2 linked regions of the Canis lupus familiaris genome follow. The protein of the gene in region 1 interacts with the protein of each later gene in a pairwise test. Links are inferred from orthologs where the notes say so. Each region holds a gene or a part of one and is shown on either strand. Other genes may lie near its edges.

The links.
Region 2: the proteins of ZHX1 (region 1) and ZMYND11 interact in a two-hybrid assay, tested with the Homo sapiens proteins (2 studies listed by BioGRID and IntAct). The link is inferred for Canis lupus familiaris from reciprocal best matches to the Homo sapiens genes ZHX1 and ZMYND11.

What each region holds. Positions count from the first base shown.
Region 1 is NC_049234.1:22,064,166-22,068,069, forward strand, and holds the start of ZHX1 (zinc fingers and homeoboxes protein 1), read right to left. Parts: upstream 2,369-3,904; 5' UTR 2,198-2,368; intron 1-2,197. UniProt on the Homo sapiens protein: Acts as a transcriptional repressor. Increases DNMT3B-mediated repressive transcriptional activity when DNMT3B is tethered to DNA. May link molecule between DNMT3B and other co-repressor proteins.
Region 2 is NC_049223.1:33,552,500-33,556,303, reverse strand, and holds part of ZMYND11 (zinc finger MYND domain-containing protein 11), read left to right. Parts: intron 1-653; coding exon 654-861; intron 862-1,084; coding exon 1,085-1,153; intron 1,154-1,873; coding exon 1,874-2,146; intron 2,147-2,425; coding exon 2,426-2,611; intron 2,612-3,804. UniProt on the Homo sapiens protein: Chromatin reader that specifically recognizes and binds histone H3.3 trimethylated at 'Lys-36' (H3.3K36me3) and regulates RNA polymerase II elongation. Does not bind other histone H3 subtypes (H3.1 or H3.2).

The sequences.
Region 1 (3,904 bases):
AGCTACATGCACTTTGGGGAAACCAAAGAATAGCTCACATGTATAATAATGCTCTAAATGTGCAGCTCTCAACTAGTTTACACTTGAAATGTGTTTGAGAAGACATTTCTATGAAAGACATTAAAGCTCTTTTAAAAATACTAGAATGGTTCAAGAAATCTGTATGAATCATAGCTGTCATCAGGTACCCAAGTCTTACTTGATTTTTTTCTCATTTTAATCCTGATCATTACATAAAGCATTTGAAGAGGTACTTCTACAAAAGACTCACTCTTAAGTGAAATGCTATCATTTCTATATTGAACGAACCCAACACTTTACATTTTACTTTGCGTAAAATTAGTTAGCTTGGCCCTAATGCTTGGAGTAAGGAGAGACAGATTAGGAGGAAAAAATATTCATGAGGGCCCTTTTACATCCTGTGATGCATTATTGTCTTTGGCAGCACCCACATTTCTTTTGCCTGAAATCAAGAGTCAGAATTGCTCCTTAAGAAAATTGTTTAAACTCTATGGATATACTAAGGCCGTGTGAAAACCAACTCCCGTTCATCCTCACTGATGGCATAAAAACATAACGACTTTTGGGGGGATAATTTCTCAGAAACAAGGACAATCCATGTAACACCGTGTAAGACAAGTTAAAGCTTCCAGACAAAGACTGAGATGCAATGACCAACACCAACAAGTCTAAAGGCGCACTACCGTAGGGAAGGCGCGCGCGCGCGCACACACACACACACACACACACACACACACACACAGTCCAAACCCACGAATAGGCACTAGTCCTGGAGGGAAAGCTGCTGCTTCCTCCCTGTGAACTCTATTTCCCAATCCTGTGATTTTCCTCCCTTTTCTGTTATATTCTCAACCTCCAAGAGAACTGCTTTTTCAAGTTACATGCAATCCCCACCTAATCACATTACAAACTATCAGCCTTTTTTTTTTTACATCCCCCCCCCCCCGCCCCTTAAAGATGAGCTCCTTCTGTTTTCAGCTCGGGGTGGGGGGGGGGGTGACGACAGAACAGCGCTGTAGGATCCGCACTCTGCCCAGCTCTGCACCGCACTCCTCGACCCCCCCCCCCCCCCCCGCCCAGTCTCTCCCCGGAGCCGGTCACAGCTGGCCGCTCCGCTCAGCGCTATAACCTAAACTTAGGATATCCAACGGAGCCTTCTCTTCCAGTGGGGGTTCTGCTCTCTCCTTACTGTTACCTACAGCGGGGAGAGGTGGAGGGAGGTGCACGGAACAAAGAATTCCAAGTCCCTCTACCCACAACTTCAGGGTAAACCCCCAGGGGAAGGGCATCATCCGCCAGGGCTCCTCGCGCCCTCAGCCCCCGCGCCTTGTCCCCTCGCACCCCCTCCGCAGCCCTTCCTCCCTCGCTGAGACTGCGAGGCTGTTCCCGTTAGGCCCCGAGGCTCGGGCGAGTGCCCGGTGGGGCCTCCCTCGTCTCCCTCCTGCAAGGGGACGGGGACCGCTTCCATTCTCTTGAATGAACTTCGGAGTGCCAGTGTGCCTCTAAACGGAAGAGAGCTCGTCGGGACTCGACTCCGAGTCTTGCCCCCCAGGGGCGGGCACGGCCTGGCCCCGAGATGGGCGCCGAGCCTTCCGTCAAGTGGGGGGCAGCCCTCCCGCGGCGCGTTGCCCGGGGGCTCCGACGCCGACTGCGCTCGGCCCCGCAAGGGGGGCTCTGCTCGCCGCCCCGGGGGCAGCACCCACCAGCCGGCGCGCGCCCCCGCGGGGCGGGCCTCCCGACCTCCGCCAGGACCCTCCCCGCGCCCCGCGGCGCCCCCCCGCCCCGGCGGCCGCGTCTTCACTCCGCTCCAGTCCCAAGTTGCTCGGTGCTCCCGTAAGAACGGGGGCTGACATGACTCCTCCCAGAGCCCCCCGCCAGCTCCCTCCACGGCCGCAGACACCCCGAGGGCGCGAGGGAACCTCAGGGGCCGTCCCTCGGCGGCGACTCCCCGAGGCCGGCAGGCAGGCGGGGTCCCTCCCCCTCAGGCGCCCCGCGCCGCGTCCTCCTCGCCAGCCGCCGCCGCCGCCGCCGCCGCCGGCGCCCGGAGCCCCCGGGGTCCCTGCCCCGGAGCCGCCTTCCCCCGGCCGGCCCGCGCTGCCGGTTCCCCGCGCCCCCACCCCGCGCGGTCCCCCGGGCGTCCCGGCCCGCTCGTCCCGGAGCCCGCTCGCGCCGCTACCTGCAGGGGCCGCCGCGCCTCTCAGCGCCCCGCCGCCGCCATCTTGCATTTCAAACCGGCTGCACTTTTCAGGGAGTCAACTCTGACCTGTGAACCCTACACCCGGAACCGCTCGGCGGGCCGGCACACGGCCTCGGCAGCTCGGCGGGCCCCGCGGAGCGCGGAGGGTCGGGGGGTGGGGGTGCGAGGCGAGGCGCGCGCCCCAGCGGCCGACCGGGAGCGGGGAGGGAGGGAAGGAGCCGGCCGAGGCGGGGCCCTCCCGCGCGCACGCCGTCCCCGCGCGCCCCCACCCCGCTCCGCGCCGGGCTCTCGGCTCCCGGACCCCGCGGCTCCCCTGGGGTCCGACCCCTGCCTCTACCCTCAGGATTGGCGCACTGGGAGGTAGGGCGCCGCCCCGCCCCTCTGTCAACAGAAGCCCCGCCCCTTGCCCGCGGTGGCCCCGCCCCCTGTCAGCAGAAGGCCCGCCCACTCCGGATCATGGAGCGGCCCCGCCCCTTGCCCGCGGTGGCCCCGCCCCCTGTCAGCAGAAGGCCCGCCCACTCCGGATCGCGGAGCGGCCCCGCCCCCTGGTCGCGCTGGCCCCGCCCCCTGTCAGCAGAAGGCCCGCCCTCTCCGGATCGCGGAGCGGCCCCGCCCCTTGCGCTATCAACAGAAGCCTCGTCTTAACTCGGGTCGGTTCCCTCCTCCTGTCACTTGTGGGCCTGCCCTCTGGGCGCTCCGCCTTGCTACTGTCACCGCCGGACCTCAAGAAACGCCCGTTGTCAGCGTAAGCCCCGTCTCCCGGGGGCGTCCGCCCAAGCCCCGCCCCTTCATCGGAATCCCCGCCCACTGTCAAAAAGAAGCCCCGCCTGGCCGAGGCCCCACCTTCTGTCAACCTCCGCCCCGCCTCTTCTCGCCTGCGGGTCCCCGCTCCACCACAAACCGCAGCTCCACCCGCTGACACCGAAAGTTCAGTTCAGCCTCGCTTCCAACTGTCGTTGAAGACGGAGCCACCCTTTGCTCCCCTGGAACCCTCCTTTCCCCTCTTACGAGCCGCTCTGCTGAAAGGCTTCCTTTTCCAGCCGAGCTCTTCAAACCCGGACAGCTTCCATGGGCACTAGTCCTGCAGAGAGGGGGGCCAGCCAAGCACCCAGGCGTCACCGCCCCTCCTCACCACTCCTCCACCATCACTTTCAAAATTATGAAACGTGCAAACCAAAGGGATGAGAAATGTTTCACTCTCCAAGCCGCTCTGCACAGATTCATGAGCCTGGACGCTGGACCCTCTGTGCTTTGACAGCAATGCTTCCCTGAGCCACATTAATCCTAAAACGTGCAGTTGCTTAAAGTGAAAGCCTGATTGTTGAAATCAATGTACACCAGCTTCTTTATTTGTATGTTTCGTCTTAGAATCCTAGAACTTGGGGAAGCAGAAGCAAGCAAAGCTTGATGATCTTATAAGCAGAGTACTCAACCCTACCATACTCAACATCCCCGTATTTACAACATAAATGTAACACCACTTCACTCTCCTAGAGCTAAATTCACAGATAATGTAAACTACACAAATAAATTCAATAAACCAGTGTAATGTTATAAAGGTGGAAAAAGAGAAAGTTCGAAAATACTATACTAATATCAAGGAAAACAATAAAATATGTTTTGCACTGTGTAAACACTCTGGCCCCAATACGAGAACTACTGAACAAAAACTGCCCCCATAAAATT
Region 2 (3,804 bases), on another chromosome or scaffold:
GGTCCTGCCCGAAGGCCCAGCGTGGCGCATCCGCGGTGTGTCCTGCAGCTGCAGACACGGCCCCCCGGGGGCCGTGGGCCGTGGTCCGCTGCCTCTGGGCGCCCCTCGGTGGGGGGGCATTAGCCTGGGGAAGTTTCCTGGAGTTTGTCGGCTCCTTGGCTCCTTCTCGGTAGAGCTGCATACGGGTTCACATCCAGTCCTCGGGGTCTGTGTTGCCCGCAGCGGGTTCCTGGCCGTGATGACGGGCGCCTCTGTGTCAGTCAGGGTGCCTGGGAGACAACGACGTGCTGGAGCCGCTATGTGGTGGGTCACGGTGTCGGGGCCCTGCTGCTTGTACGGATCTGTGTGTACGCTCGGCTCTGCCGGCCTCCGCCCCAGCCAGGTGTGCGTGCCTCTGCAGCAGGAGGGCCGGGAGCCGCGGGGGCTGTGGCTGGGCTGCCCGGAGCCCAGAGCCCACAGTGGGGCCGGTGCGTTGGCCAGTCTCTCCCGCTCCGGTTCTGACCGTCCTCACTGCTTTCTCCTCGGTGAGCGTCTGCGTTGCAGCCGTCCCCCACAGCCTCGGGGCGAGGAATCGCCCCAGGTCCTACTTTGTACTGGATAGAGTCTACTAGCGTTCCGGAAATTTCTAACTGTGCCTCTGGTGTTCCTTGAAGGGCATGGATCCCTTCTGAAAACATACAGGACATCACAGTCAACGTTCACCGGCTGCACGTGAAGCGCAGCATGGGCTGGAAGAAGGCTTGTGACGAGCTAGAGCTGCATCAGCGCTTCCTTCGTGAAGGGAGGTTCTGGAAGTCCAAGAACGAGGACCGGGGAGAGGAGGAGGCGGAGTCCAGCATCTCGTCTACCAGTAATGAGCAGGTGGGTGTCCCTGTGAGAGGCGGCTGTGCACACAGTTGACGTGCCCTTCCCTTCTACAAACGTTGGTACAAAACCCACCCACGGGCCACCCGCAGCCTGGTCCCGAGCCCACCAGGGCCGAGGCTGCAAGGATTTGGGGGAGCTGAGCACAGGAGGGAACAGGTTGCTCACTGTTGTCTGTAGTGTCTGCAGTAACACGCTCTTACTTGTGTGATGCCCGCAGCTAAAGGTCACGCAAGAACCAAGAGCAAAGAAAGGACGACGTAATCAAAGTGTGGAACCCAAAAAGGAAGTAAGTTGCCCGCCCTGCAGTGTCCAGGTGGGCGGCTGTAGGAAGTGCCTCCCTGTCGCGGTCACGACGGTCCGCCCCAGGGGTGCCGTCCATACCCTCGGCCCAGCTGGAACCCCACCGTCTGCCCGCCCGCCCGCAGTGCCAGAAGAACACGCACCAACCTGGAGTCTGCGTCGCACGGGGAGGGCGCTTTGCTGCACTTCCTGGAGCTCTCCTAGTTACTCAGCATTATGAGAAGCGGAGCATTTACCCGATCCTTCAGTTAGGTCAACGTTGAAAAACTGGAGGAAAGTGTGGCTACGCTCCGCCTCTCAAAGTTGTATGTCCATGCTCTAAAACCAGGTACTCATCTGGTGACCCATGCTCAGGACATCTGTTAATGAATCTGGTCCACAGCAGCGACTAAATTGATAAGGGTTTTACGTCTTATATGGTATTTTTCTTTCGTCTGTCTGGAAAGCAAAGACTGTAGTGTTCATATGCCACAAAATGAAGTTCCTGTTTTAAATTCTTGCTATTCATTGCGAGAAGTTTTGGGGGCTTTTTTTTTGTTTTTGGTTTAGTTGTGGTAAACTACACATGACACAATTGACCATCTCAATTACATGTTTTTTAACAGTAGTTCATTACCCTAGTTTTATCCTCCTAGAGCTCGTTCTGGAACCAGGACTACTAACAGGCGGCTTCGTGTCGCGTCTCAGCACTGTCCTTGCTCTGCAGGAACCAGAGCCGGAAACGGAAGCCGTGAGTTCCAGCCAGGAGATCCCCACCATGCCTCAGCCAATCGAAAAGGTGTCTGTGTCAACTCAGACCAAGAAGTTAAGTGCCTCTTCACCACGAATGCTGCATCGAAGCACCCAGACCACCAGCGACGGAGTGTGTCAAAGCATGTGCCACGACAAATACACCAAGATTTTCAATGACTTTAAAGACCGAATGAAGTCTGACCACAAACGAGAAACGGAAAGAGTTGTGCGAGAAGCTCTGGAAAAGGTAAGGCCACCTGGAGAACCCTGAGCGTGACGGGAGCGCTCCGGTAGTGCGTAGGCAGCTTCTCTTGGGCATCAGCCAGGCAGCTCCTTTTTAAAACTAGAACCATCATATAATACCTTTTATAACGTTTGATTGCTAGTAAACCTTGTTTTCCTTCACCTAAGACGTGTACTGCTCTCAATGAAACACAGGGAGGGGGTCCCCCCTTTCCGTAGGAACTGTGGAGTGAGGTGTGTGCATCGCGGGCGGGCCAGTCACGAGCTAATGTTCTCATTCCAGCTGCGCTCCGAAATGGAGGAAGAGAAGCGTCAAGCTGTAAATAAAGCTGTAGCCAATATGCAGGGTGAGATGGACAGGAAATGTAAGCAAGTAAAGGAGAAGTGTAAAGAAGAATTTGTAGAAGAAATCAAGAAGCTAGCAACACAGCACAAACAACTGATTTCTCAGACCAAGAAGAAGCAGTGGGTAAGTACGGTTTGTTCTCAGAGTGTGACCCATGAACATGTTCCACCCAGTGTCATGGTGGTGAAATGGTCTGCGATGCAAGTCACCTCAGAGAGACCTACGTGGTTATGCCAAGTTTATACCTGAAATAAGCTCAAATGTGAAATGATCAGCTCTAGATGGGTTTTATATTTTTACTAGAAGTCCTCTCCCCGGTGAGCTCCAGGACCCCCGTACTGAGTACCGCTCAGGATTACTTCGCTGAGTCTGTGAACCCTCAGACGTGTAGTTACTGTGTCTGATTTACGGGACTACATCCATGCACGCGCCGTCCCCTGAGGTTGGCCTGCTGACTCCTCATGGCCAGGGCTCAGTCTCTGGAACCTGGTGTCAGCAGTCGCGACAGCAAATTAAGGATTTTCAGATCATGCTGCACAGCGTTTATATGTTAGTCTTTTCACTCGATTTACTATTCGATGGTGACGTCTCATGAGCCTCTGACTCCACGTAGAATCTGACACACGGTTCCTTTCTCACCATGTCCTGTTGGCGGCTCTTCCCTAGATTGGGAGCTCGGACCACATCTCAGCTAACTGGTGGGGGAAACGTTTGTGAGTCTTCATGGGATCCAGACTACCTTTTCTGAAGCAGGTCTTTCCACGTCCAGTAGGTGTTCCCTCAGGAAAGTGACCACTACAAATACCGTGATAGAGAAAGAAAAGGGAACTTAGCATCTAATTCAGAACTTGATAGGAAAAGCAGATGAGTAACGAGATAAATACCGCTAGACAGGAATTAAGGTGTACTCCAGATAATCCCCCGCGCCAGGCCCTGGCGCCCTGTCATTCTGTCTCATGCAAAGACAAGAGAAAGCTAGAAAGTGGGCCCTAGACTTATAAGGTTACTGAGGAATCAAAGAAATGAGAGGAGAAGGCTGTAATAGGGAAAGGGAACGCTGCTCGTCTAGCATTCCCCAGCCGTGAGACTGCTGAAGCCCTGCTGGTGGGTCTGCTTCCCTGCCTCGTCCCCCACGTCAGTACCGCCCTGCGGCGCCCATCACTGCCAACACTCTGTGTGTCTCCAGCTTGTCGCAGCTCCAGGGTTTCTTCTTTCTCGGGGACAGACAGTACTCCACTCATCATCATCTTTCTTCACCCATGCCCTGGTGGACGCGGAGGCCGTGCTTTGCTGCACGTGCGGCAGTGAGCGTGGGG